4 linked regions of the Schizosaccharomyces pombe genome follow. The protein of the gene in region 4 binds, or shares a complex with, the protein of the main gene of each other region. Each region holds a gene or a part of one and is shown on either strand. Other genes may lie near its edges.

Region 1 (7,297 bases), on a different chromosome or scaffold from region 4:
GGTAGTCCAAACACAACTTAAAACTAGCAAAAATTAGTATTTTTCAAGTGAATACTTTCTTACCTTCTTCGTCACGTTCATAAGAATAGGCTGATTATATTAGTTAAATTTGAACAAATGATAAAGAAACTATTTAAAATACCGTCTAATAGATAAGCCAATATTTTAGGCACCAACGAAACAATAAGATTATCTTCGGTCAAGCTGGATTTTTGCAGAAACAAGTATTCTGTAGGTTAGATAGGTTAGATATCACAAATTCAATAAATGTGGACTTACCATCTTTAGTAGATAGTTCGTTGTTAGAAACCGGAATAAAATAACCGGTATAATGTTTATTTATTTGAGTTGACATATCGCGCAAAGAATCAAGATTTTTAAACGAATTTAAGTTGTCGATAAAAATCGAATTAAGACTAGGTATAAAATTACCGGAATAGTTGGAACATTCAACCAAAACCGATTTGACAGCATTCAAACGATCAAGCTCAGCTTGTTCTAAATCTTTAAAAACCATAAACTGGAAAGGGTTAGCAAATGAAAGAAGAATAATGCTCAATACCAAATATAACTCTAATTCATGACGGCATTGCTCTAAATTGTCATAAGCAAGGTTGTACTTTTGTAAAACAGGATCATCATTAGTAGCTGTTATAGGATCATTTACTTGAAAATATGGATCGACCTCAAGAATACTCAAATGATAACTTTTCAATAGTTGCTGTGATTTTGTAGTAAATTGAGCATCTATCTCCGGATCATTTTCAAAAACTCGACGAATGCCAAGTAACCTTATTAAGCCATGTTGTATCAGCTGGTTTCCAGCTTTAACGACATAAGAATCTTTTTCCAAACCAAATGTTGTCTTGATGGCTTCAAATAGAAGAGAGCAGTTTGTAACAAGTTCGTAGTCACCGAGATGAGAATAAGATTTTCTTTTAACAGTAGACGCCTTCATAAGCTTTAATAATACATTGGCAAATTCCTCAGCGGTATATGGATGATCAACTATGTTTATCAACCCATCAAACTTATTAACGTTAGAAGGATTAATATCCAGCTGAGACAGAGCAGAAGCAAGAGAATCGGATTTATTAGATTTTCGAGAGGTAGGAATTGGCTTTCGGTCGGTCAAATTAGACTTCTTGCTGTTTACATGAGAGAAACGTGAATTGTAGTTGTTTATTTTGACAATTGCGGCTGAAACGATTTCATCTACCCTTCTAGAATATTTCTTTGACCAATTTGCAAAAGGATTTATTACCAATATATTTAATTGCTCCCCAAGCTTCTTGTGCAACGACGCTTCCTATTGTAAATATTAGCGATAATGACCATAAGAGTAACGATTGAAAGTATACCATTAAATAGCTTTCATAAAGCTGGTGTATGGCTGCATCAGAAGGAAGATCATTGCTTTCTTCATTTAAAGGATGGTGCTTATTGAATTTTGAAAACGATTTGAACAGCAAGTCAGAACAAGATGAAGCTGACTTTGCTCTAATATGTAACAACTGTAATACTAAACGTATTGTTAAATCATTAGTTATTACAAGAAGAAGAATTCATGTGCATACGCTTTTCGTTTTGTTCAACACCTTCGTTGATTAAACGTTGGGCACGATTTATTCCCGTAATATAATCCCTTGACCAGAACGAATTTGAAAAGCCGTCCCACATATCTTTTTGATAAAAATGTCTGATGTACAATACACTTAAGTATATCTATGTACTTCTGTTGAGTGCCAGCTAATTAATAGATTAAAGGTAGTTACAAAAGAGTTCTCTTTTAATCTAAAAACGTTAGTTTAAAAAATATTACAGATAAATCAGTAAATTGACATTGAGGATTAGAATTCTCCTACAACTCCAAATAATCCAAGAAGGACTGAAGGAAAAACTTCTTCAAAAAATCACTTACAAAGAAAGCGGTATTAAATATTATTCACAGTGATTAATATGTAATTTTGGTTTTGTAAAGAGTCATGTAGATGTTGGTATTTAAGTGGGTTCGTCGCGACGAGATGTAAACAAACCAAATTACATAGTGCAGTACAAAGCATCGTAAACTGTAATGAATGGCACAAATACTGAAGACAATAGTAAACAAATACTCATACAGACAATGTACACGTACGATTCGTCGGGAGAGACACTGAAAATAGCAATAGCATGGAAGATAATTTTAAAAAAACCGAAAGGAAAAAATATCAAAGACTACATAGAAGCATTGCGGAAAGGAATTGAGGATCAGGAACATTGCGAAAAATACGCGTCAACATTATTGGAACCGCGCCCAAAGACGAAAAAAGATGTTGTTTTGAAAAATAGTAATGTTACAGAGTGTGTGGCTTTAAAAGCCAAACCGTTCTCTAAAAAAATCGAGGATATGGGTAAGTACTTGCACGATGCTTATTAAATCCATCAATACTAGGCCGGTATATCTTCTTATATCTAAAGCATTAGTTATATTAAAGAAAGCCTTTTTGATCTAAAATAGTATGAATTTTCTTTCGTTAACAATCCAATCTAGATATCTTTTTGCTGACCAATGTTCACGAGAATCTTCAGGAAAAGAGGCAAACATCCGGAAGCCTTGCGCATCTGGATATTGAGTACACGTTTAATGGACTTTTTCGATTCTTAAAATGCACTGCTGACATAAAGTTGAAGCAAACAAAAGTATACGAGGGTGCGGATTTTTTGCGCATTAAAACTTTATTCGAAGAAATTTTTATGTTTCTTAAAAGAGATTGTAAGTCGCCGTTGGTTTTAACAAGACTAGTTGAATTGGGAGATTATGTACTGGATCTCATTATAATCACGCAGTCGATTATGCAAAACAATGCCAACAATGGAACTGGAGTGATTTCCAGAGCGAAATTTTTGGAATTTTACGTATTTTTGGAGCAACTGATATTTAACAAGCTCTCATTCGCTTCCGTAGAGCAATTGGAAAAATTACTAGATCAAATTGTTAAACGGATGAAAATATGCTTCACATATTGCAAAAACGATAACCCATCTATCCGGTTGTTATATAGTGAATGTTTTTTTTCGTACGCTGAGATATACTTCCCTTGTCTACACTCCTTCGATGCTCAGCTTTCATCTGCCGCAAGCAAATGTGTCCAAATCTTAAGAGACATAATCACAAATGAAGAATTACAAACTGATAAACAAGAGTTGTCTAAGAGTGCCTACTCTGCTCCATCCATCCTTTTGATTGGCCTCAAAGATATGCTATTTCCCGAAGACATTTCCTAATAGTAATATATTGAGGGCCACTATTTAACACACATTCATTTCTTGCCTTTCCAATTTGACTCCTTTTGTTATCCTAAAATATTCACAACATTTGGTGGAATTTTTCTGGAAATTCAATGTACAAAGAACGTTGTGGTGAAAGTGTTGATCATCATATCCATTCGATGAACTTTGATATTATGTTCCCTTTTAAATCTTGGGCATAAGGGAAAGGTTTTCTGCTTTTAAAAATTGATGGATAAAAGAAACAAAGGAACAAAAAAAGCGAATATATAGTGGCCAATTTGTATTATTTTCAAGTACAGAAGTGCTTTCCAAATTCGTTTACAAGAAACTTTGGAATTTCAATCAACAAGCTATGTTTCTTCTTTTCCAATAAAGCGCATTTAATACAACGCGTTGACAACAAGATTATTGATCAAGTAAAGGAAATTTATCGCACAAGCCTTCATTCATAATCCGCGATTTGATCTATACGCATTGCTATCCTATTCCTTACGAGGGATAAATCGAAGGAAGTGATAATGGATAAAACCACACAAGCTCCAGAGAATTGAAGGTTTTTCAGCTATAGACCTAACTAGAAGAACAGGGATACTTACAGGGCTTATTAATATTCAACATTAAAGAGCGTCTTATCGATTCCTTGTCAACTTGATATCACCAACAGTTCTATGCACTACTAACTTTATGTCACACTGCGTTACATGTCATTATAAATAATTCCTTTAGTATTTCTTATATTCTCCACTAATTGGAGTCATCGAGAGATGACCGGACTTTTCCTACAATAATTTTTACTTTTATTTATGTTTTAAAATACTCAAAATAAGCATGATTGAGCTTTTTTTGCTTACTCTCAACATGTGTCAGTAGGAATCCGTACATGATCTGATATGATAATTTTACTGGCATCAGAAACTCTATAACCACACACAGCTTACTTGAACGGGCCTCATTTGATGGAATCATAGAAGCAATCACAACTAAAAACGATAATGATTGAAAGCGTTTGAATGCTACGTTGGCGGAACACAATCACACATACTGTCAGCCTTCAATAATTAAATAACGCAACCCAACAAAGATGCCTAAGGTAGAGGGACTAATGCGAGAGGAAGCCATCTACGCAGTATGTAAAATATTTTAAGGAGTTTGTATAGTTGCTAATTTAACAACGATATACATAATAACGAAATATGTTAGTGATTTTTATATTTGTATAAAATAATACCCTGGATAATTTTGTATTTATTAACTATAGTACTGCTACACCGTAATATTATATTAATTAGTATATCCATTGGAACTAAATTGAGTAACTAAGAATTAGTCCGACCTAATAAACGCTAATAGTCAATAAATTGGCTTAGAATTGTCTGAGATAATAAACTCTTTTAATATTTCAAACGATGAAAAGTTTCGATTAAGAACTCAAGAATGAACAGTAATGATTGATTTAACGTAATATAGCGCAGTTAAACGTTTGCCGACATCTTAGGTCAATGTATTTTCTAATACTAATAGTGCTTGACTCACTGTCTTTTTGAGCTTCTCTATAGATTAAAGAGGTTTTAACCTTATCATGCCAGTCTTTACCAAGGAAGCTTTGGAACGGCTTCCTATCCAATTAGGAAACTTTTTTAAAAAGTTTCCGCCTGAAAATCCAAATGCATGGACGACAAATCCAAATCGTCAAAATCCGTTTCTCGCAACTCGAAATCCTCAGAATGGCCTTGTAATCAACCCTTACTATTCCAATAGAAGGCAAGCTGAAATATATAAAGAGGCCAGGCTTCAGAATCTGGATAATTTACTCCCCCAACAAATGTCATGGCAGAAAGATTCTACACGCCATATTTTGAAAGGTCTTCTGAATCCTAAAGGAAAAATTAGTGAACGAAAGAGGGATGAGATTTTGGAAAATAGGCGTTTAAAACTTTCGGAATCATTGAAGAAAACTTCTAAATTTAAAAATGAGCGCGTATGTAAACTGTTGTACTTTCATGATTTTCTTATTTCTATCTACTGATTTTGATTGTGAAAAATTTACTATTATTATTTTTTTAATTGTCTTTATTAACACTCTTTTTAGCAAAAAGCTAGCAAAATAGCGAAACCTTCTCCTTTCTAAATTCTTCTTCTGCAAAGTGGGTTTCACGTAATACTGTTAATACCTTTTGATTCCTGTTTGTTTATGACTTCCTTAAATTTTTTTAAAGATTCATTTAAATTTACTGCTATATTACCTCAATTATGTGTTTACTAAAAGTCTTTTATTGTGCAGCATGATAAAAAGACTAATATACTAGTCTATACATTTTTGTAATCTTTACTAATAATATGATTCTACTTTAATAGTTAAATTACATTTAAATATTAGGTTTTGAATCTGCAGACTTAGGATTTTAGAATGTGATTTATTCGTAACTTTTCATTATGAAGTATCTTGTTATCTTTAATTTTTAGGAAGAGCGCATTTAAATATAAAAAAAATATTTAGCACTTTCTCAAAACTCATTACTTGTGAATGAGTAAGTAAGTCATTATATGATTTATGTAACTTTCTAAGCTTATTAGTGCATTTCAAAGCCGACGGAAATTCGTCAAAGTGATTTTAAGATTTTGGGGCATTAAAAAAAAAGATGGACAGTCGAGTAATTTTTTTTTCATCGGAAATTGGGAAAATGCAACTTCAAACAGCATTTTCAACGTCTTCTTCTCCTTCTTCATCTTCTTCACCTTCAAACATTAATTCATTGAAAGACTTAATCAATGGACTAGGAGAATAATCTTGAGCATCTTCCTCGTCAATCCCCTCGAATTCTTGATATCCGAATTTCGTATTTTTGGGTGTTTTGGGCGACTTGGATGTGCTTTTATTAGTATCGTCTTCTTCTTCATCGCTAAGTTCAAGCAAAGGAGATCTCCAAAAATTCACATCAGTAAAGCTTGAGACTTCATCTCGGGTGCTAACCTCGATGGGAGGGAAGAAATGATCGACAAGCTCATTCATGTAAACATAACTACTTCGGTGACCGCTTCGCTGCAACAGTTCAATATGGACTTCGCCAGCAGAATTAATGGTAAAAATCCTAGTTGGTGGAACTCTGACATGGTTATAAGATATTGCGTCTGTAATACGATTGCCAAAGCCGGCGTAAAATGGTGTTCGAGGAACAGGTAAGGCGAAAATATTACAAAGATCACGCAAACAAGCCATTTTAAATACTTCTGGCTTCCTTAAAATTACTTCTCTATGAAGAGCAGCCATAGTGCGATCAGGTGATAAAATAACAGGACCATCGGGTAGAGAGTATCCGTTCTGTTCAATATTCCGGAGATAATGTCGAGTAGAATCGGCTTGGCCTACCGAACGACTAGTTAAATACATAATTTTGTAGCCGTTGTTAGTGATATCGGTATACAATTTGGCAACTCCAGCATGAGTCCAATCCTTGCCGATCAAGGTAAACATATGCCCTAGAGCATCAGATTTGGTAATTGTTCCATCAATGTCCGATATAACGACAGGATCGTTGTGTTTCCAAAAAAAAAGATTAGCAGTGCAAATGGCCTTACCCCCGTTGACTCCAAAGGAAAGCTCATTTTTACCGGGCTTCAAATTTAATGAACGAAGCTGATCAGAGGTTAAACGAAGGGTTTTAGCATATTGAGGATATGACTCGGAAACTGGGCTCAAAGACTGTTCAGATAAAGAGTGTCGACGGCTTAAATCAGAGTCCTCATCCATTAAAGCCGAATCGGACTTTGGAGACGCAGGAGTGCGAGATGGACTTGCAGGAGGACTGTGTCCATAGACCTCCGCAAACTTTTTGGCATCTTCAGAAGCGTGAAACCACAGATTACCTTCTTCATCTTCACGCAGAAGCTTTTCAATCATGGGAAATTCATCCTTGAATGTTTCCCGTGCCAACTCTGCAATGTTTATATTCGCAGCAGAAGATTTATAACCTGTCATGTCAAGCATCACATCACCATTATCCCCAACACGTGTAGGAAGTTCTTT
Region 2 (7,625 bases), on a different chromosome or scaffold from region 4:
CAGTCAATTTTCTTAAATCTAAGCTAATGCTCGCGAAATTCTTTGGTAGCTCTGAGTTAATAAATCAGAAAGACAAAACAAATCATTCAGGTTGAGTACATTTATACAGTAAGATTCCAACCAAAGCTTCCATATATGATATCTTTTGTAAACTTAAGGAAAGAAATAACGAAGCGGAATGTAAACATTTATTAAGTGTTTATACGTTCCAATACGTTAGATCTTATTATAGCGATTATAATATCAATTTCATATCTATCGCCGTATCGTTAATGTGATATAACAATAGGTTGCGATAAGGAAGAGGTTACACGGTCATATAGCCATACTCTCAAAAGATTAGATAAATTAAATTTTAAGTAGTACTACCTCCTTTTTGCGTTGGTTGAAAACTTGAAAAACTGACTCTGTTTTAACAATTCTGAATGGCTTCTTCACAAAAACTTTGGGGCGGTAGATTTACTGGCGCCACTGATCCCTTGATGACAGCTTATAATGAGTCTATTCATTATGACAAGCGCATGTTCAATGCCGACATTGATGGCTCGAAAGCTTATGCTAAGGCATTAGAACAACGCGGAATCATTAGTGCTGATGAATTGGATAAAATGTTAGATGGTTTAGAGGCTGTCCGAGATGAATGGAAGACAAATAAATTCACTCTTCAACCTTCTGACGAAGATATCCATACTGCTAACGAGCGCAGATTGGGAGAAATAATTGGTACAGGCATTGCTGGTAAGCTTCATACAGGAAGAAGTCGCAACGATCAAGTTACGACCGATATGCGCCTTTGGCTACGTGATGAGTTGGACATCATCCAAAAATCTTTAGTTGGGTTACTCCAAGTTTTTGTTGCTCGTGCAGAGTCTGACCTTGATATCATTATGCCCGGTTACACTCATTTGCAAAGAGCCCAGCCTATTCGCTGGTCCCATTTCTTATTGTCTCATGCCTTTTCTATATTAAATGACTTGGATCGCTTGAAACAAATTTATTCTAGAGTCAACCGACTCCCTTTAGGCGCTGGTGCACTTGCTGGTAATCCTTTCGCCGTAGATCGTAAGTTCTTACAAAAGGAACTTGGTTTTGAAGGGGTTATTATGAATTCAATGAATGCTGTAGCTGACCGCGATTATGTTATTGAATTTATGTTCTGGGCTAGTATGGTAATGACCCATATTTCCCGTTTGGCAGAGGATCTTATTATATATTCTACTTCTGAGTTCAACTTCGTTACCCTTTCCGATGCTTATTCAACTGGAAGTAGTATTATGCCTCAAAAAAAAAATCCCGATTCTTTAGAACTTCTTCGTGGAAAGTCTGGCCGAGTTTTTGGCAACATGATGGGCTTTATGGTTTCGGTTAAAGGGATTCCTTCAACATATAACAAAGACCTCCAAGAAGATAAAGAACCGCTTTTCGATTCTTCCAAAACTGTTTTGGATTCCATTCAAATTCTAACCGGAGTTCTTTCTACTTTAACTGTAAATCCAGAAAATATTGCTAAGAGCTTGACTGCGGACATGCTAGCGACTGATTTGGCAGAATACCTTGTGCGTAAAGGTGTTCCCTTTCGTGAAACTCATCATATTTCCGGGTCCGCTGTCCGAATGGCCGAGGAAAGAAACACTACCATTGATAAGCTAAGTGTTGAAGATTTTAAATCGCTACACCCATTATATGAAGAAGATGTTGCAGATGTTTTCAACTATGAATCCAGTGTGGAGAAGCGTTGTGCGATTGGTGGTACCGCTAAGAGTTGTGTATTAGAACAAATCCAAACCATTAAAAAGGCCTTGGAGTAGATAAGTTTACATGAAATGATATGGATATACTTACTTTTTCTATATGTTCGTTTGATCATTTAACAGGGCTTCCTCAACATAATTCCCCGAATCGAGGTTTTTTGGTGTAAAACGGGCAAATAAATAATTGTAGCCTCATAATAATATTTTAAAAACACGTAACTTAAATCTTAAATCGTAAATATTCATACTGAATGAAGTAGTACTTTTAACCTTTCGTCTTTCTCCTTTTAACATTATCATCATCGTCAGATTCCCCTAACTCGTGAATATCTGCTGTATCGTCTTTTGATAATACAAGCCCGAAACCTGCATCAACAATTTGTCCGTCTTTTCCTTTCTTTCGCTCTTCTTCTTCTTTGCGTTCCTGAACTTTGGCAAGTCGATGAATTTGAGACATAAAATTCGTAGGTTTAAGATCGCTATATTGATTTGTATCAAAGACTTTCTTATGATAAGGCGCATCCAATTCATGATGACCTTTAAGCTGAAAAGCATCCTTCGCCTTCAACTCAGCAGGCTCTTTATCATTTTCATGAAAAGGATCATATTCTCCAACCTCCTCGAAAATATCGAGCTTCAAATCAACTGGTGGAAGTGGTATATCATGCTTAACAAAGCTTTTCCCTAAGCTATTAGCGTTCACGTTTAATTTCTCGGTTCTATGTTCATTTTCTAAACGTTCATTATCATTTTTTAACTTTTTTTCCTTCTTCACAAGCCGTTTTAGGATTTCACCATTTTCATCAAGCAAATATTTAACTTTTTTTCCATTTTCCAAAATTTTACGATATTTCGGTTGTCCATTAGGATAAAGAGGTATCTTCTTTTTTTCTTCTAGAATAGAAACAGATTCAGGATGTGATGACTCCTCAGCAACTTTCTCTAAAAGCTTGTCTGCTTCTTCGTCAACTTCTTTCTCACTCGAAGAAAGCAGAGAATCATCCAAGGCTAGCTCATTAGAGCGAACTTTTTCAAGCAATTTTCGATCAAGACCACGCACGAGATGAGTTGTATTCAAATCTCCGCCTAATTCTTTAGATTTTTCTGAATATTCTTTTGTCGTAATTTGGCCATTGCGAAGTTTCTCGTGCAATTTGTGCAACTCAATATCCTGTTTGGAAGAAGGCTCTTCATAAAATTGAGTATCTTTCCCTGAATTTTTTGCATTAGAATGTCTCGTAATGTCTGACGATGTAGAATGACTTAGTTGTTTTCTTTTAATTAGGGCTCTGGGTGCTTCCAATTTGGCCGTCTTATGTTTACGACCAAAAACAAGTCGCTGACTTTTATTCGATGAGAAATTTTTTAACTGGGAGGTTTCGGCTTTTGGAGTAGCTAAAAGCTTTCTGAAATCATCTTGGTTCATTGTGACAAATTTTCAACCAAAACTTCAGTATCCTTTCAATTAATTGTTTCTTTGGAATAACTTTGTAGTAGTTGTTTATATACACTTAACAGTAAAACACAAAATAAATTGTAAATTATTGAAACAGTTTGATAACATTAGCATACCTTGACGTTCGTACACTGTGATCTCAAGCGTAGTGCGCTATTTTACTACTTCGTAATCGGCCAATGTTTTTTAAAAACAACCTATATTCTAGTTGCAGAAAACAGATATCTTTTCTTTCGAAAAGTTGATTTTCCATACAAGGGTTTGAGGAACTTGAAGCTCTTTCTAAGATTTTATGCCATCCGTATGTTAACAAGACATTGTAATCGTTTAGGACTTCAAATTGAAAATAAATTTGTGTTCAGATCATCATCATGGAATTGTGTCCGTCGAATTGGGAAAATTGCGTGTAATGAAAATAAGTACAGATATGAAATGACATCTACAGAAGAAGACATTGACAGCTTTTTCAGTCGTGTTTTTGGTGAAAAAAATTACATCTCAGACAAATCTCTAAGAGAACAAATTGTAACTCATAAATCTTATAAACATGGGCTGAAAAGATATAATGAACCTTTCGTTTCGGTTGGAAATGCAGTTATCGATGTTTGCTTACTTAATCATTATTTGGAATCAGGAAACTTTAGCACAATACCTTCATACAAGGATTTAGTAAATCTTCGTTCCCCTGCTCGACTCGCTGAAGTTGCAAAAAAATGGAATCCTGAAACTGCCACACAATGTATTTTGCCATTAAAAGGGCCTAATTCTCCATCTTCGTCTAGTTTTGAAAAGATATACAGTAGTATTGTTTCCGGACTTGTTGCTGTCGTTTACTTCCAAAAAGGCGGAGTTGAGGCTATGAATTTTTGTAAGAAAAGCATCATATCAGATTTGACAAAAGATTTCGTGAGACCTAATACCGTGCATAATCAATAAGATGTGTAGCAGCAGGATAAAATTCTTTATGCAAAGGATGCCATAATATAGTACATTTTGCCATACGCTTATTATTACTATCGATTTATTTAACGCCTCTTTCATTCAGTCAGTAGTTAATAATATATTTCATATTTATCAACATTTGTATAATATAAGCTGCATCCCAAAATCTTATTGATCGAGTTGTAAGTCATTGGCATCCATTCACAAACTACGTTTTTTAAGCTCCCTTATCTTTTTCAGCATATCTGCTAAACACTGTTTTGAAACCAAACCGTCACGCATATTCTCCTCGTATATTAGATAATGGATATTTCGTGCCCATTGGTAGAGTCTACGACCTTGTTGCAGCTGGCGTCTGACTTGTCCGATGGTAGAAGGAAAAATTGCAAAAGGGATATTTAATTGGACCAAAACTGTTTTCAACATGTTGGCTGTTTCAACACTACACTGTTGATCTATATGCTGAAGGCCTAGCCGATAATAAAGTTGTTTTTCCTTAGCCAGATTAAATCTAGAATCAGGCATATTTAAGGAAGTAAGAGGCTGTGAGGTATGGAAAGTAGGGATGGTAGATGAAGCAGGTGTTGAGTAGCTTTTGTTCTTTTCGATCATTAACTCACTTTCATCTGACAATTTTGCATCAAGATTATTGGTATTAATAACATTTCTTATATCATTTTTTGCAGGGGCTGTAGACCCGTCATTCAGCATAGTATTCTCCTTATTATTTCCTTTGTCAGTAGTCTTTGTGGTTATTGCATTTTTTGAGCTTTCATTTGATTCTTGATCTCCATTTTGAGAAGTATGCCGAAGAATTTGTATCTCTTTACGGGCTTGGGTAAGTTCCTTACGCAAGTGCTCAAATTGCAAAAGAATAGCATCAAGTGTTGATAGCTGAACTCGTATTTCACTTGGAACCGCAATTTGAGATTTTTCATTATACCTTCCGTTGCCTTTAAGGTTAAAATCATTGCTAATAGTAGCAGATCGTACCTGCTTCGTATCAGGTTTTTGCTCTTTAAAGTCTTTTGTGCTTTTAGGGAATCGTTTTGGAGGACAAAGTGGAGTAGAAACAGTTGTTGACATTGTTGTGGGACAATAATCCTGCTGATTCATAAGCAATTGCTTGGTTATATTTTCAATCTGTTTATCTCTTTGTTGGCATTGATTTGATAAGGATTGTATTGTGGCATTCATCTCCAAAACAATATTAACAAAAGAAGGAGGTAAATCGGTAATGGCTTGTTTAAAAGGATCGATGTCTTGATCATTCGACGACATCTGTTTATTATTAGAAAGATTTTCCTGAGCCTTTTGACAATCCGTAGATTGGATAGGTTGACTAATAGAAGAAACACATGTAGATGAAGTAAGAGGATAGCCAGAAGGCGGTACTGGATATGACTCTGGTACAGTTTCCAAATGAACATTCCGATTTTGAAGCTCCGGCTGTGAGAAATGTTGTTGTGGATAACCTGAACTCAAAGAAAAATTAGGCTCAGGATTATATTGATTAGGGCGAGTGACTGGGGGTGGTACGTTACGGCTTGGTGGAACCTGTAAACTTTTTTTAGTCTCTTTAGATTGCTGATTAAACACTTCAGGGTCCAATCCATCTTGTTGATTAGGAACACTAATATTATCTCGTAGCTGTCCTTTTGGACTTTGGTCATAAGAGCTGGTGTGTGATTGAGAAGGTGGAAATGAAGGTGAATTGGAGTGCATATGACGAGCACTAGGTGAATCAATCACTTTCGGGGCGACATTCTTGTAAGGTGTACTAGTATAAGATGCTTTCTCCGAGTTAAACGAAGGCTCATGATGTCTTTGAGCATTTTGACTATTATCACCAAGTTGATGACGCGGATCCAGAAATAAGTTGTTTGAACCTGGTATTTGCTCTAAAGGAAGTCTTGTAGAGTCATTGGGGTTCGAAATTTCTTTTTTGGTGTTTTCTTTAATCGTAGTACTATTTACGCCATTAACAAGCTCACTTATTTGTTCATCGTTAAGTCCATCCAACAATTCAGCTATTCGATCAATTCTAGCGGTACGAGACGGATCTGCATCTACATAATATTAGTTACATTTTCAGTTGACAGACTTTTCGAAAAAGTATATGGACGTTACAGGTGAATACCCTTCAAGCCAAAATGTATGTCATAAACCAATTTCCCTCTTAAAATAGAAAACATTTAGTTCATCTACAGATGGAAGAAGACGGCATGAGTGTAATTACCCAGTGTTTTCAAAAGTTCACAATACAAGTTGACATTAAACTTTACCTACCTTCGTCAAGGGAGTCAAAGTATATACTGTCACCCGCAGATGGATGACTATCAAAATGAGAATGACCTAACCATCGGTAATCTGTACTCAAACTATCACCAAAAGCCTCATCCATTCTAAAACATGATTAAAAGGTTTAGTTTGTGAGTAGCTGACTTAAAACTAATATTGTTACCCAAGAGTGTAAGTCACATGCTCGAAATGTAAATAAACACCAGATAATAACAAAAAGTTGTTAACTAATTATGAGTATATAAATCATTCAAATGTATCATTAATTCTTGTAAATAAAAAGTTTTTCTATTAGAGTTACTAGAAAAAATGAATGAATTTGAAAAAGTGTAAAGGCAGACATAGCCCAAATCCGAACTTCTTGAAAGTAATGATTCTAAAGCCATTATATTTTCTAGTACTTAAACTTTAGTTTAATTTTATATTTATTGGAATTATTTTTTTTTCTAAAATACTCAAGTGCCCATAATCACTGAATTATTTTCTTTTTATTTGTAATAACGCAGCAAATATTTTTCCCAAATCGAGTATATAATAGAAATGTATGCGATATTTTTGTTACTGCAGTATTAATTCTATTTGTTCTAAACATTGTCCATAAAATTCTTTAAGATCACAGCTTTTTAATTCCACAATAGGTTATTTCTATTTCAATAGTTTTACTGGTTTCGTTGTCAATGAAATCAATAGAAAGCCATGAAGTGATTCACAACTTGAAAAAAATTTGTCTTATATTAAAAAATAGCGCTACAGAGCCCTAGTGCCCAAGCATAATCCATTATTTCCTTCGTAATTGCTTTTAAGCTATATAAAAAGCCATTTAAGTTTGTAAGGTTATCTTCAGAAAATTATTTGATAGTCCTTTGATATTGAAAGATTGATCATTGAGCTTTAACGAATGATAAGGATTGATTTTTAACTACAACATTGAAACTCTTCGTAGATCAACTAATCAATTCCATAATAAAGTGGGGTTCTAATATTTAAACACTATTCAAAGATCATATATAATAAGCTCTCTGACACTCTAAAAGGGTATATTCTTTACAGCCGACTATTAATAATAAAAACGATCTTTTCAAATGCGTCAACAATATTCATCCAGACTAAACATTTTTTTTACGTGATGTAAATGCTTATGCTGGTACAAAAGTTAAAATTACACGAAAGGAAAC
Region 3 (7,767 bases), on a different chromosome or scaffold from region 4:
GCGAACGAGATCTTTCTCGGCTTTTGTTAGAGAAAAGGAGCAGCAAAGATAATTTAGAAAACGTTTGCATATTTCTAAATCACTTGTTGGCGTCATGTTGGTGCGTAGTTGTTGAAATCCACTTTGCTCCCATTGATTTTGGTAATTTTGAAAGTTGTGGGGATCATCCTGCAGAGCTTTGGTGGCTTTTAATGCAGCCGATGATGAGACGGGTATTATAGATTTTTCATTTTTTAAAAGAGAATGCAACTTTGGGTCAATATCGAGCACCAACGTGTCTGCAGTAGTAAAGTCACTGGAGGTCATTCTTAAATAAGAAGTAGAACATATATATCGAGCATGGCAACTAGCCAAAATATCAGAGTCCACTGTTCCCGGAGGAAGGTGAATAATTTCAAGATTATTGACTTGTAGGAAGTCGCTTGGAAGAAATAAATGTGACGTACTATACCTAGCATTTCGCTCAAACAAAGCATTTGTGCCAAACGAGATATAAAGTGGGTTTAGTCCATTGTGATCCATGGCATATTTCAATTCTTTTGACTCAGGCATAAAGGGAGCAGCGAGAAGAGCATGTGTGATTTGTTTGACACACGCGACATCTTCGGCAGAAGAGCTTAACGCCTGTAGCGCAATCCTCCTCCTAATATTCGATTTGGAAAGCAAAAGGGAGACATTTCCTACACGAATTGTTGCAGGAGAATTGTCATCGACTAATCTTCTCAAAGAATAAAGCTCATTGAGCAGCTTTTTTTGCAAATTGGAGATGATCTGCACATGTGGAGCGGTCGACGACCTGCGTATCGCCAACACAGAGCGCTTCCATGTTTTTATTCCAAATCTTAGCATAATTTCTCTGAGCCTATGAAAAACTAATCACAACAAAGGATCGCATATGAACCACACTAGATTCGAAAGCCAAAAAGGAACGAGATTACCGGATTTTAGATAGTATTAGTTAAAGTTCCAAATACACAATAAAACATTTACTAATAAGTTAATAATTCTTAAAACAAATACTATAGTGAATAATTGTTGTCTGATGGCACCCGAAGGTTGTATAGTAGTTGTGTCTATTGAGTAGTGTCGTAGATGTTATATCAAAATACCTTAACCCAGCAGTATAATATTCTTGGAAAATCATTGGATATTGTTAACCCTTAAATCTGTATATGTTTATTTATTTGTTCAGTCAAACAATCATAAAAACAAAAAAACAAAGAATTTTGCATTTTGTTAATTTAGACGAATTCATTGTTCATAAACAGTGACAAAATCCGAGGTTTATACAAGTATTTGAAGAAAACGGTATTCGACAGAATGAAGCTTTAAGTCTAAAATGGATTAGAAGGAACTGAAATGAGCTACATAAATTGCTCTTAATATTGGAGAACTGCTAACATTTATAACCTTTTTAATGATTACACTAAATCTTCACCTATTGCTTTTCACTTACTTTAATGGTCATTCGATTCAAACTTATTTTATCTAAATCTATTACCTTTTGCCAGTAAAATACTGTATAGTTAGTTAGCAAAGAATATAGGCGAGTAAAGCTCTAAACTATCATACTTCTAAAATCAAAGAAAACCAAAGAAAAAAGCAGATGAAAGAATTTAGTAACATCTGGATTTTGAGTAATAAACTGATTGACCTAACTTATTGACAGGTTGTGCGATATCAGTTGGTTTGCCAAAAACAACAATAATTGAAAATTTATGAATGGATTCACCAGAATATTAGCCTAATTGCTTTTTGATTCATTTAAGGAAATTCAACTTTTAATTTGAAATCAGCGAAAGCCGAAAAAAGGATGGTATGAATTTGAAATATTTTTTAATGCGAGCAGGTAATATTGACTTTAATAATAAAATAAAATAAAATGTCATTATAAATGCGATTTGAGGATTTAGTAGAGATATGGATAAAACAGATATGAACCAAACTGCATGAATATTAGGAAATCAAGTTGTAAATATAAAACAAGCATTTTTAAAAAAAAACAAAAAATATTACTCTAAAAATGTTAAGAGGTCAATTTAAGGTTTGTTTACTCTCATTTGTTATGGTGGTAATAGTTTCAGTCATGCATCATCGAAATGTAAACAAACAGCGATCCTATATATACCAAAAACAACAACCATTCCTTTCCATCACACATCTTTTTTGAGATAAAATGAACAATTCAAAACTCTCTGTCCCCGGACAGTATGAAGATGAAAGCAGTACTATATATGTAGGAAATATAGATTCCCGACTTTCTGATGAAGAAATCATCAAACACTTTTCAAAATATGGTATGAACACACAAGTCAAGGATAAAAACACGAGGAAAAACATTAGAAAACATAAATAAAAGCGATATATTAATCAATTCTTTAGGACAAGTAGAATCCATCTTTCGTCGATTACTTGATAGTTTTTATCCTAAGGAAAAAGCGAAACCTTTTAAACCTCCTAAAAATGGAGTGCAATATGGGTTCGTCAAATTCGTTAATGCTGAAAGCATTGAAGAAGTTCTAAAGGACGCTAAAGGAATGACTCTGGGCCAAAGAAAATTGTAAGTGACTGAAGGGAAAAATTAGAGACAAGCATTACAGAAAAAAAAATCGAAAAATCATTCTCCAAAAAATTACTAACCTAAAAAAAAGGACCATTAAAGCAAGAGTCGTAAATCCTGCGAAACTGACAGACAAAAAATTCAAACCTAACGATACGTCAATCACTGCGAACGTGTTCAATCCTAGCATCCAAAACAATACAGATGAGGAAAACGTTAAGCCAGGACTCAAACAGTCTCAGATTAAGGAATTTATTCCAAATGTCGAAGAAAGAAATTGGGAAACTGTGAGAGGCATAAATTCGCGTAACCCGAAGCCAGAAACAACGCTTACCATACCGTCTCTTGGTTTGGAAGATATTAGCATGCAAGTTGTACCAAATGCCTTCGCTTCTACGTTACCCCTTAGTATCTTGAACCTACCTGCCGAAGTCACACCGATTGACTTATATAACCACTTTAAACAGGCTGGTGTAGTAAAAGGGACGGCGGTCAGCCAGTTTCTTGACCAAAGAGGGTTCCGGTATGGCGAAGTGATTATGGATTCAGTTGAATCATGTCAAAATGTAAGCTCAATATGAAGAGAAAACCCCAATATTTGCATAATCTATTTCATGATACTAACCTCATTATTAAGGCAATAGAAAAATTAAATAACGTTCCATACAAAGGAAGCATTTTAGAGGTCAGTATAAAAAATAAAGCCTCTTCTTCAGTGAAGTCAATTCCCACAACGCCGACTGGTGAAAGCTTATGGCCTTTCCCATCGGAAAACGCTAACAAAACTCAAATAAATATCGAAAATGCTACATGTTCGAAGATGACATGGATTATGGGCTCACCAACTAAGGAGAAAAGCCAATGGGGTAGCGTTTCAACTACCGGTGTTTCAAATCAGCAAAATCATCCAGCCGCTTGGAACCCAGATAATAAACCTCAGTCAATCGTGCATTGGGACTCTTTACGTGAAAGCTCTCCAAGTATCCCTAATTCTCCTATTGACCCTTCAAATCTATACGTTAAAAATTTAGATGATACCGTCATCACATGCAAGAGTCAGCTGGAAGATTTATTCTCACCCTTCGGGTCGATTTTGTCTTCCATGTTAGCATGCTATCCAAATTCAGGAATCTCCAAAGGTTATGGTTTCGTAGCGTTTCGTCAAATAGAGGCTGCCGTTAGAGCCAAAGACACATTGAATGGAATGATGGTTGGGAAAAAAAGGATTTTCGTTTGCTTCGCGGAGCGAAAGTCTGACAGAATTCGTAGATTGCAAGCATTTTTTGCAAACAAACCTACTTCAGAACAAACAGCGCAGCAAGACAACAAAGCTTTGTTCGTCAAACCAGAAAGAAGCTCTACTGTTACCATCCGAAAGCCAATAGAGTCTTCTACAAACAAAATCTCTGAGAATCCCACGACCCTTTCAAGTAAGGTTGAAAATAAGAATGAGCCTAAGACTGGTGAAAACAAAGAACCCAGTCAGACAAATGAATATGTTAACTGTAAGCAAGAAAATAAGGAACTTAGTGGACAGTTATCAGGCAACTTGGATATAAAGAAAGAAGCAGGAAAATTGAGCCATGACGGAGAACAAGGAAACTTGTTAAAACCATTGGTATTCCATGCTAACACAAAACTAAATAACCGAGGGTCTGCTAAGATGGGTTCAACAGCCACCAACTTGAAGAAGATACAAGACATGCTTCACAACAAAAAGCTGAGTAATGCATACTTTGTGCCAAGAGCAAGAGCAACAACCTGTACAACTCTTACGTACGTAACAGTTGAGCCCTCACATTTCCAAGATGAGGACTGTAATGAGTCAACGAACATGCTTTCACTTGTCGGGTACATGGACAGCTATCCAGAAGCTACATCCAATATCCAAAAAATGAATTCCTATCATATTAAAGATTCAAATAAGGAAAATTTTTTATCAACAACAAAGGTTAACAACAATTCACCAACAACTATTCAGTTGACGCAGATTTAACAAGATGCGGTGAAGATATAACTATGAAACAAAATTCATAATGCTATATCCCTCAAAACTCCGATGAACAAACTTTTAACTCCTTAAAATATATACATCGTGAACGGATGGATTTGCTAGTATAACCCTACAGTATCTTACAACTACCACAACGTGGAATTTAAACGAAACCGTTTATTTTTAGTCTTTAATCAAAAACATTATAAGGAAATTTGATTTGAAAGATAATTCTTTATTAATTCGAAAGTTGACAGCTGGATCAGATTTGTTTAGAGATTTATGATTTTAGCAGGTTCATTGACTGACATCCAGTAGCTTGGTGACAGTTTGACGAACCAGATTAAAAACCATGAGTTCATTAATAGCGTTAGGTAAACGGCAAACATTATTGTCACATAATGAATTTTTAAATTTTAAAAATCAAAAGGGTTTCTGCAAAAGGTTTATTTCTCAACTAAACAAGAAATCCAATTTTCCCGCTCTTGCGATGACAGTTCCTGAAGCCACAAAATATCTCAAATCTGTGAGCATTTCTGTTCCATATGTTGGGTCTTATATGCTTTCAATTGCTTTAAAAAGTAATCGACGCGCTCCGTCAGCTCGTGGTCAAATTGCCTTTCCTCATCCATTTCAAGAGCCTCCTAAAATTTGTGTGTTTGCTAAAGGTGCAGCTGCAGATGAAGCTTTAAAATTGGGTGCAACCTATGTTGGTGCAGAAGACTTAGTAAAAAAAATTCAAACAGAGCCCCTTGAATTTTCAAAGTGCTTTGCTCATCCCAACTCGGCAGAATTACTACCACAAGTTGCTAAATTATTAGGATCAAAACGTCTTATGCCTTCAATAAAACGAGGTACTATATCAGATGAATTGAAGCCACTCATTGAATCTGCCCTCACAGCTGTTGACTATCGGCAAAATGATGCAGGCTCGATAAATTTGCCGGTTGGAAAACTAGGGTTCAGCGACAAGGAGCTACAAGAAAACATCGAAGCACTTGTATCAAATGTTCGGTTTACTTTGGCCAAACTGCCTGGAAAAGTTAAAGTTACCGTAAAGCATGTTCATCTTTCCGCCTCACATGCTATTGCAATTCCTCTCCAGTATAAATAATGATTAAAATGTTATTGCATGGGAAATTTAGTCTACAGTCTTGTCATTTGTAATATGTATTACATGATTAATTTTGTACAAATTAGTGAAATGTGTAATGATATTTTATCTAGTAAATTTAGAAGCCTGTTTATATTTATTTATTATCATAAACTACTTTTTAAAAAGTATGAATGAAACGTTAGAATACAACATTATGAAAGTTACTCTGTGCGATGCCATTTCAGAACAGGCGATTCCGGAGAATCAAATCTGTTATCACAAGCTGAGGTATCTACGTTTTCAGCCGTAACCCACTGGTGATTTGGATCAAAAAATAAGGACATAGGGTTTCCCATACTCGCGTTTTCAACATCATTATCTGAGGAAAAAGTGTCCGGATGTAGAGATTGGCAAGTACAAAGAGCCTGGTAACATGAATCAACATCAGTAACATATAATGTTAGTTCTAAAAAATCATCTGTGAATTCATTTTCATCTTCGGTAGAAGGAGCTTCATGCAATGTTCCTGACGACCGTTCAAATTTAAGAATGTGATCTAGCAAGGGTCGAATGGCTTCACCCTCTAATTGAACATATACATATGGCTTATCCTTGCTTTGTTTCGCATGAAGAGTAATGGTTTCATATGGAATTTTCCAGCCAGAATTCTGTTCTTCATCAAAAAGGATAAAGCTCTGTGAAGTTACTAATAAAGTTATCAATTTGCCCAAAGGAAAACTTTCCTCATCACTTCTAATTTTATAGGGGACTGTTTTTTCTTCAAAATAAACGATTTCTTGATTTGGCAACAACTTTTCACCATTTTCAACTTTGCGAATTAGGTCCTTTGGAAGTGAGTCAATTTTGGTAATCATAATTACTTCTTGCTTCCAATAGGTATTTAAGCATAAAAATTATTAAAAAACAGTAATAAGGCCACCTCTACCTGATAATTTATTGAAAGAAAAGGTTTACTGTGCGTTGTATTCTTTTGAAGTACTCAAATACAATATCTTCGCATATTAAGCATTTCGCAAAATCGAAAATATATTTCTACTCTTAACCACACGAATTTTTTATAAATTGAACCATTATGCCAAACAGGATATCGATTTTACTCAAATACTTTTGATATGCAATTTTCGTAAATGACAAGCTAGTTATTCATTGCAATTACAAAACAAACTCATGAATATAAATAGTTTTGTGGAAAAAATAAAGGAAAGGTCTAAGGTCTTTATGAAGTAATCCTCGTTACCCAAAAAATTGGGACTCAAAACTTTTGAAATTGGATTTTTTATTTTATATAGTAAACAGATTTATAAGTGTAGCGAAATAAAGCTAAGAATTTTTTAGCAACCAATTCATTGCTATATAAGGTTATACATTGATTTGGATACATGTAATGAATTAGCATCAGTGGATCGTTTCTCTCATAAAGGTGGGTCTTTCTAAAGTATACGAGATTGACTTTCAAACACCAACTTTCCAAATCAAACTTCGAAAGACTTTTTTAAAGCTAGTGACAAGGTTGGAGCAGAAGATTCTCCAAGCCAGTTTTTAGTTAATTAATAGAATGAAAACAAATCGAAAAGTTCAAAAATCAAAATTAGCAAGGCAAGATTCTGGTCATCAGTATATAATTAAATGATGGCAGTATGTGGATGCAAATCCTCCAAGATAATTTTTTAGTGAACAATTTAATCAATAAATTTTCAAAGTAAGATACCATAACATGCATGCAGGGTTTTCTTCAAATATTTTTTAGGACAAAAGTATACTTTAATTTACGCATTGAATTTAAGAATCACTTGTTGCGTAAACTGGAATCGTGGTTGACACTACTTGGCAGCTGTAAATACAGCAAATCGAGTTTGTCAAGTATAGATTTTGTGGCATTCTCCATTGAGTTAGAACTGTTTTCAGGAGATGCAACTTTCATGATATTTCCATGTTGTTTGTACACTTTAGAGGTTGTAAATAAAGAGGGAGTAGCCATTAAACCTTTTTCATCAAATGACAAAGTATAAAGCCAAACAAGACTTTGAAACCAATTATTCATAGGGACACTCCAAATAAAGTAGCGAAAATTGGGAACTCGAGGATGTACATCATTTA
Region 4 (7,605 bases):
ATACTTATTTCTATTTTCGAATCCTAGCTCTGAACAAGTTCTTGTTCTTTGTGATAATTCCAACGTGTATTTAAAGCAGTATATAAAGGTCAAACACCATCAAATGAACAGTTTATCAAATCTCATGGAACCATTTATTAAACATTATACTTTTTGCTTAAATAAATATTCAAAGTGTTTTTTTTTTTTTTTTTTTTTTTTTTTTAATGCATATGGTAGGAATAGGCATTATTTATTAAATGGATTCGCAAATGGTTAATATTGTGCTAGGAGATATGTTGATTTCAATTGCAATATCTTTTACCTATATTTAAATGGCACTATGTAGAAAGCTGACAAGAGAATATTTTAACAAGCAATCCCGAATCATCAAAAATAAATTAAAATAATTTTAAAAAATAAAAAAAATAAATCGCAGAAGCACAAAGCATAATACTATTGATAAGTTCAATGTAATTTAATTTGGTTCATTACTATTTAAAACTAAATCCCCATCTTATAGTAATATAGAAATAAACAGAAAGTATATACAATTTCTCTACAGGATGAAAGAAAAAAAAACCCCCAGAAAATAAATGAGGGAAAAAAATAGGATATCAAATATTGATCGAGGAAATCACAAGCATTTCCTTCAGTGTAAGAAAAGCAAAATAGGGAAAATCGTAATTGTACATTGAAAGCATACATTTTTACAAAATTGTAAAATTTCTTTATTTAAATCGTTTCCAAAATGAACCGGAAATGTTATAAGCAAAAATATACTAAATAAATGAATTTAAAACTATTTCGGTACACTAAATAATCTCTTATAAATTTATTAAATTTAAATACATAATCTACTTAATACTAATCGTCTCAACGGAGGACAACGTGGCCGAGTGGTTTTAAGGCGTTCGCCTGCTATTCTGTAGCCCAGCGGATTCCCTTTGGGAGCGCAGGTTCGAATCCTGCCGTTGTCGGCATGATTTTTTTTATTTGTAAAATGAATATCGAAGAGCCTTAGAGAAATATGTTATAGGAATTTATCGAGGCAAATAATGAAATTCTAGTAAGAGAATAACCTGATGGTTAAAGCTTGTTTATTGATCTTCTTGCAGATTTTTTATTGTTTTCATGAGATGGATAATACTTTAAATGATTTATGTTCTATCTAAAGTAAAACTTGGCGAAATTTTAAGAAAACACCCATAAAGGTGTAACTATTAACTAAGAAGAGTTCGCAAGTCAGTGATTTATTTTTTTCAATTGTCCCGAGTGACTTAAGACACCGACTAGTACAATTTGTCAAATTTATTGTAAATCTATTTTTCTTTAACAAAAAGTGATTGCAAGCGCTTCTCGATCCTCAATGGATCAGTCGCTAACTGTGTGGAATAAGTACATTTCGCAAGTAAAAAAAATGGTAATTCTGACGTATCGAATGAAGGACATAACGTTAAACATAATTGAATACTAATTCTAAAATCTATATATGTTCTCTTTATTTAAACCGTACTACTAGATTGTTCCTCAATATCCCAAATAACACCTAATGGTTCTTTACCATTTACAACAATCAAGTGATTGTCGAAGAAACATTGCAAGTTGAGAAAAATGAATGAAGTAGAAATATTCTAATGTGCTAATGATTTATTGTAAAAATAAATCATATTATTTTATTTCTTTGACTTTCTTACATAGTCGAACACAGACAAATACAATTTTCGATTAACATTTCTAGAGTCTCACTTGATAGATTGTGCTTTACTTTATTTCATAAGTATTCCTATAGTACTCAAGCGTGCTTGGTATTATTATTGTAAACTTAATGACATTCTTGTTAGAACGACACCCCATTTGAACTTAGCAATAGTTTATAATTATGAAAAAAACAAAAACAAAAATTTTATTTTGATTCCCAAATTGTAAACAGACGCTTGAAACCCTTACATGTACCTGTGTCTGCTACCCATCTGTACATGAGTTGTATAGTAACGTCCAGGTTGTCCCATAACCAAACTCCTTGAACTTTGAAAGCGGCTCTTTATAGAGTCATTTTTTATTTCCTATAGTACTTGAAATAATATTATTCTCTAAAACTTTTCACTCAAAGAGCAGGACGTATTTGCTCCTTATATATGCGAAGGCGTTACTATTGACCTTTTTCATCGCCTTTGATCCACTTTTGGTTAAAGATTTTATCCTCCTTGCAAAGTTTTTTGTTTACTGTCTAAGCAATGCCATTTATCGAGTCAATGGCCCCTTTATCGCGCGCAATTACTCGCGGTATCTCTCAATTCTCATGCTACTCTAACACATTGGTTTTAAGAAGTTCCCGTAACTCTTCTTCATCATTAGTTAAACGAAGTTATGTATCCTCTCGTGTTTCACCCAAAAAGCCACAGCATAATTCGGATGCCACTTCTTCAGCTCAAAAAGTCGCTAATAAAACGCACACTAGTTCTGTCCTTCCAGGTACTATATTAAAGGGACTGTGTATAAAGGCGGGTGGCGTCGACCCTGTAGCTCGTGAAGATCATGAATATCCAGAATGGTTATGGTCTCTTCTGGATGAGCCAGCTCCCAATTCTAAGACTGCCCGAAGTCATGCTCGTAAAAGTGCCATTCGAGCGGCTAACTTTCTTACTAAAAAATAATTACCTTTTAGAATGTTTGAAACTCTTAATTTTCCATCTCCTCTCTATCCTTATGAGCATTTGATCCATTCTTTTTGTTTACTTTTTTTGAGGCATATGACATTCGCTACTTTACCATTTCCCAGAATCCAAAAATCATTTTAAAATAAAAATATATTAAATAACCTTATATCAGTGATATACATTTGTAGCATAAAAAAAATTACTACTACATGTCCTTCTTTAAGAGAAGCATATTCAAACCTCAACCTGCCAACCTTAGAGAAACCGGTATTGCCCAAACTGTGTATCGTTTATGGAATTTGGCTGACGAAAATGTATTCTAGAATTGTATTGAACGATGTTGAGAAAAAAGTTGTTAATCTTTTGAAAAAGACTGCTGATTTTATTGAATCTAAATCCAGCAGCAGTTCGTCATTGGAAGTTAGATTGGCAGGAGGATGGGTTCGCGATAAACTTCTTGGGCTTTCTAGTGACGATTTAGACGTTACGTTGAATAAAGTTACCGGTGTTGACTTTGCAAATTCAATATTTGAGTATGTTCACTCTCTCGACTCTGACTCAGTTATTCCATATAAAGACGCACTTGGCAAGCTAACTGTCAATCCCGATCAAAGCAAGCATTTAGAAACTGCTACCTTATCCCTATTTGACCTTGATATTGATTTTGTAGGACTTCGTGCAGAATCATATGATGATAAAAGTCGAATTCCTAGCGTTACCCCAGGAACTGTTGAAACAGATGCATTGAGAAGAGACTTCACGGTTAACACCCTATTCTTTAACATACGAACAGAAAAAATAGAGGACATTACAAAGCGAGGATATAAAGATTTGCAAACCAAAGTGTTGGTCACGCCCATTTCACCTCTCCAATCATTTTTGGAAGATCCCTTACGAATTTTGAGAGGCATTCGGTTTGCATCCAGATTTGAATTTACAATTGATCCGTCGGTCGTTTCCGCTATCCAAGATCCGAAAGTATGTAAAGCTTTTGAAAAAAAGGTTAGCAAGGAACGTGTAGGAGAGGAAATTGAGAAAATGTTGAAGGGTGCAAACGCGAAGCTAGCACTTCAACTGTTATATTCAACGAACACGTATCAGTTTACGTTCGATACTTTGCCAGCTGAAAAAGAATTTCAAATTCCAAAGGCATTGGAAGCTACCGAGTCTTTATTTCAGAGTCTTGCATTGACGTTTCCTAAACTTATGAAATTAAGTGAAGATGAGAAAATTGGGCTATGGCTATATGTTGCTCTAATTCCATGGTCTAGTCAAACTGTTATGGTTAAGAAAAAACAATTTTATATTCCTGCAATCATCGCAAAAGACAAGTTGAAGCTCAGAAGTACATATGTTAACCAGTTGAATCAGTGCTGCACATTCAATCCGATATTCGATGAATTAGTTAACGATACTTCCACTAAAAATTGCTCATCTATTGGCAGCTTAATACGACAATTGAATAAATCCTGGGAAGTCGTGTTTTTAACATCGGTCATATATAGTTGTTGTAAAACACCGGCAGCATCTGTATCAAATACATTTAGTTCTTATAAATCTCTATATGACTTTATTTATGACAAAAATTTACAAAATGCTTATAACATGAAGCCATTATTAGACGTATGTAATTCTTTTATTTCTGTTAACAATATTGAGCGAATAAGCTAACAATTTTTTAGGGAAAACAGATCATGAAAAATGTGGGAGTTAAGCCTGGCCCGCAGCTGAAAGAGACTATGGATAACATGATTTCCTGGCAATTTAAACACCCTGAAGGAAGTGTCGAAGATTGTGTTGCATACCTTCAATCCCTAAAAATATAAGAAAAGACAATCACTGTTTAGATAACTTAATCGCACAAAAGATTAAAAGAATAAAAGTCACCAGTAATCGTCGTCCTTTTTGGAAATTCGTATTTATGATATTTATGCTTAATTCAGAATGGATCCTTTCCTCTTATTATTACCAATCTCTAACCGGCTCTCGATAATCGTATTCGCTGGTGCTTGGTGTAATTTCGGTACAGTCTGGATAACAGTAGTTCAATTTGACATAGCATCTTGTGTTTTCATTATCATTATTAAAAAAACGAGTTCCACAAGCGGAACATTGCAAATTTAATTGATCAAATTCATCAATGATTTCGTTGCCTGTGCGTGCTGGATAATCACCTTCGCACTCATAAATGGCAGTGCAAGAACTAGCTGTATAAGAAGAATATCCATGGTAGATCAAGGATCTATTATACTTCATGTACGCGTTCGGACACGCACGATTTTCTCCTCGAAGCATAGGGCAAAGAAATGAGCCCTTACAGTTATTAGGATGAACCGAATTATCATATCCAAGCATGTTAAATAAACTTCTTCGATAGTTTGAAGTAATTCGAGAGCCTTTTGCTTCTGGCTCAAAGACAGTACTAAGATCACTTCTAATTGGGACTGCAATGCATATGTAAATGCAGATTCCGTATATGAATAGGAACAAAGTTAATTTCTCTGTTACACAACAAAATTTCCACATTCCTTCCGAAATATTAATATATATTAAATATGCAAAAGTGTTTAAAGCAATGCTTCTTATTTGCAATTATTCTTAATTAATTAATATTTTTCTTTTGGTTAAGGAAAGAATATGTAATATAAACAGTATTCTTTTAGTTGGTGTCAATATTTTTGTTTGTTTTTAAGATCGTAAACAGAGCTTTACAAACCCCAAAGCAAGGTGTCTTCATCTAGTGAAGCATCCGAGTCATTATTAGATAAATTGCTAGATTCTTTAACAGAAAAGTTATTTTTTTTAGTTTCAAACCTTTTTTGTTTCAAACGACGGATAAGATCCCTCGACTCACCCAATTTGCTTTCTTCTTCATAAAGAATATCATAAACTTCTGGTTCTAAATCATTATCTGCAATTTCATTTTCTTCATCCTTTTCGGCCAATAACTGTTGCTGTTGGAGTGTTATTTCTTGTTCAACAGCATTTTCCTCAATAATGCCAATCTCATTTTGAAAATCGTTCCACTCTTCTTCAATTAGTTCTTTATTTTTAGCAATAGATTCATCAAAAAAGTTTTCTGGAAGTGCGGACACCGCTCGTGTATCCTTAGGAGGTTCTGTAGATTGCTTTTCATTAAAATCACTTACTGCCAGCTCACGAGATTGATCACGACCTAAATTTTCAAATGATTTATGATCTCTCGTCTTCTGACGCTTCAGTTCTTGACTAGAGGCTTTCAGACCTCGCTTTTGCCCTAATCGCTCTTGTTTTACTTTCCTCAGTAACTCTCGTGCACTACTCATATTTTTGAAGCTCCTTTTCTAACAATATTCACATTTAATCGTAAAATATTGCATTCGAACTATAAAATAGCATGTATCCTTAGTTTTCGCAGATTTTGCACCTTTGCTATAACAAACTACAACACTGCTGCCACTTGCCAATAACCCATACCTGCCAACACCTTGTTTTTTAGAACTCTTGACGAGCTTTTGTGAGGATATTAAACACTTCAGGAACGACTTTTGTTTAGTTATGCATATATTTTAATCTCCTCAGTTTATTTAGTACGCATTCAATCACTTGTTATTCGAATTGCATGTATTAACCTTGAAGTACAGATGTCATTGATCAAAATACTTTTTATTCCCATAATAACGAAGCATGGTAAGAAAAAGCACTAGAAGGACGGCAAAAGCCTCAGAAAAACCTCCTGAAACTGTTGTTCGGTGTGTTTGTAAATCGCAAGAAGACATTGGCGATACGTGGGTTCAATGTGATGGGTGTGATTGCTGGCAACATGCCAGTTGCGTTGGATTAGCGGATAAGGATATACCTGAAAGCTACTATTGTGAAGTTTGTCATTCGCGAAGCGACGTTTCATCACAAGTACAAAATTCTCCCAATAAGGATGAAGAGCATCAGACAGCTGATTTACTTGCCTCTAATGAAGGGAACGAGAAAAACAATGAAGAAAATAATGTTGTATCTTCTGATTCAAAAGAGGCGATTACTAAAGAGTCAGGCGCTGAACTAGAATCATCCGAGCCTGCTTCGACAAATTCTAATGTTGGAATGACTACTAGGTCTGGTCGACAATCTCCTAGGACTCCTATTGGCTCCACGACACCAAAAAGTTCTCATTCTCCACCTTCAACTCGAAAACGAAGAGGCAGTGTTGGTACGACGGCTACTCATACCAAACGTAGCAAGAATGCACCAAAAACATCTCCTAAGGATGCTTCCAATGAAACTGCAGATCAGGAAAAGGAGCTTAGTTTACACACTTCTATCGATGAAATTCAAAACCCTGTTAGAAAAAGTGTTGCCAAAGCCTGGGTTTCCGTTTTTGAAAAAATCATTGAGAAAGCAAAACTTGAAGGTGTGCAAGGATTAGAAGACCTTAATTCTACATCCTTAGCGCTTCAGCTTGAGCATATTATGTTTATGGTGCTTTCGTATACAACTGATCATTCGTTAACTCCGAACAACAAATATCGAGAGAAGTTTCGTGCTTTACGATTCAACTTGGTTGATGACAAAAACCCGGCATTTCGAGCGCGCGTGTTAAAAAATGAAATTAGTTTTAACGATCTGGTCAACTTATCCAGTGAAGAAATGGCTAATCCTGACTTGAAGAACCTAGCTGAGGAAATTCGTCAACAAAGTACTGAAAACACAGTCATAAAGCAACATTTGATTGCTCCACGAGATCGTTTACTTGATGAAGATAAACTTACACAACAAGATGAACTTGGTATTGCGGAAAACGATGATGCGATGTTTCCCAAACCTCCTGGAGAGCTTGTAGCTCCAATTTCAATTGCAGAAGAAGAGCCCACAATTGATTCCAAAAGTCCTACTTTACCGGAACATAATCCTCTTTCTGAAGACGATACATCTAATGGTGATAAAGCTGCAAAAAGAAAAGGGAGTTTTAACGACACAAAACCGATAGTCAATG

The links.
Region 1: mrpl37 (region 4) and mrpl25 share a complex: the UniProt entries of both Schizosaccharomyces pombe proteins name them as parts of the mitochondrial large ribosomal subunit.
Region 2: mrpl37 (region 4) and mrpl15 share a complex: the UniProt entries of both Schizosaccharomyces pombe proteins name them as parts of the mitochondrial large ribosomal subunit.
Region 3: mrpl37 (region 4) and mrpl1 share a complex: the UniProt entries of both Schizosaccharomyces pombe proteins name them as parts of the mitochondrial large ribosomal subunit.

What each region holds. Positions count from the first base shown.
Region 1 is NC_003424.3:4,992,000-4,999,296, reverse strand, and holds mrpl25 (mitochondrial 54S ribosomal protein mL59), read left to right. Parts: upstream 1-4,789; 5' UTR 4,790-4,852; coding exon 4,853-5,251; intron 5,252-5,362; coding exon 5,363-5,401; 3' UTR 5,402-5,673; downstream 5,674-7,297. Other genes in the region: rga9 (RhoGAP family GTPase-activator protein), read right to left, coding at 1-23, 64-90, 143-229, 280-520, 563-1,309, 1,362-1,522, 1,578-1,680; meiotic recombination protein Rec24, read left to right, coding at 2,126-2,393, 2,534-3,267; lipin, phosphatidate phosphatase Ned1, read right to left, coding at 5,963-7,297. UniProt on the Schizosaccharomyces pombe protein: Component of the mitochondrial ribosome (mitoribosome), a dedicated translation machinery responsible for the synthesis of mitochondrial genome-encoded proteins, including at least some of the essential transmembrane subunits of the mitochondrial respiratory chain.
Region 2 is NC_003423.3:4,359,568-4,367,192, reverse strand, and holds mrpl15 (mitochondrial 54S ribosomal protein mL57), read left to right. Parts: upstream 1-3,401; 5' UTR 3,402-3,510; coding exon 3,511-4,143; 3' UTR 4,144-4,311; downstream 4,312-7,625. Other genes in the region: arg41 (argininosuccinate lyase), read left to right, coding at 426-1,808; SPOM_SPBC1539.02 (uncharacterized protein), read right to left, coding at 2,017-3,177; SIN component scaffold protein Sid4, read right to left, coding at 4,351-6,218, 6,439-6,553. UniProt on the Schizosaccharomyces pombe protein: Component of the mitochondrial ribosome (mitoribosome), a dedicated translation machinery responsible for the synthesis of mitochondrial genome-encoded proteins, including at least some of the essential transmembrane subunits of the mitochondrial respiratory chain.
Region 3 is NC_003424.3:1,789,382-1,797,148, reverse strand, and holds mrpl1 (mitochondrial 54S ribosomal protein uL1m), read left to right. Parts: upstream 1-4,697; 5' UTR 4,698-4,905; coding exon 4,906-5,667; 3' UTR 5,668-5,749; downstream 5,750-7,767. Other genes in the region: protein Mmc1, read right to left, coding at 1-849; poly(A)-binding protein Crp79, read left to right, coding at 2,177-2,297, 2,383-2,560, 2,652-3,126, 3,198-4,556; protein saf5, read right to left, coding at 5,871-6,524; ftp105 (Ubp5 interacting protein Ftp10), read right to left, coding at 7,457-7,767. UniProt on the Schizosaccharomyces pombe protein: Component of the mitochondrial ribosome (mitoribosome), a dedicated translation machinery responsible for the synthesis of mitochondrial genome-encoded proteins, including at least some of the essential transmembrane subunits of the mitochondrial respiratory chain.
Region 4 is NC_003421.2:1,252,329-1,259,933, forward strand, and holds mrpl37 (mitochondrial 54S ribosomal protein mL54), read left to right. Parts: upstream 1-1,989; 5' UTR 1,990-2,216; coding exon 2,217-2,636; 3' UTR 2,637-2,898; downstream 2,899-7,605. Other genes in the region: cca2 (ATP/CTP tRNA nucleotidyltransferase), read left to right, coding at 2,952-4,262, 4,322-4,465; protein mug117, read right to left, coding at 4,605-5,165; SPOM_SPCC645.12C (uncharacterized protein), read right to left, coding at 5,348-5,944; bye1 (transcription elongation regulator), read left to right, coding at 6,306-7,605. UniProt on the Schizosaccharomyces pombe protein: Component of the mitochondrial ribosome (mitoribosome), a dedicated translation machinery responsible for the synthesis of mitochondrial genome-encoded proteins, including at least some of the essential transmembrane subunits of the mitochondrial respiratory chain.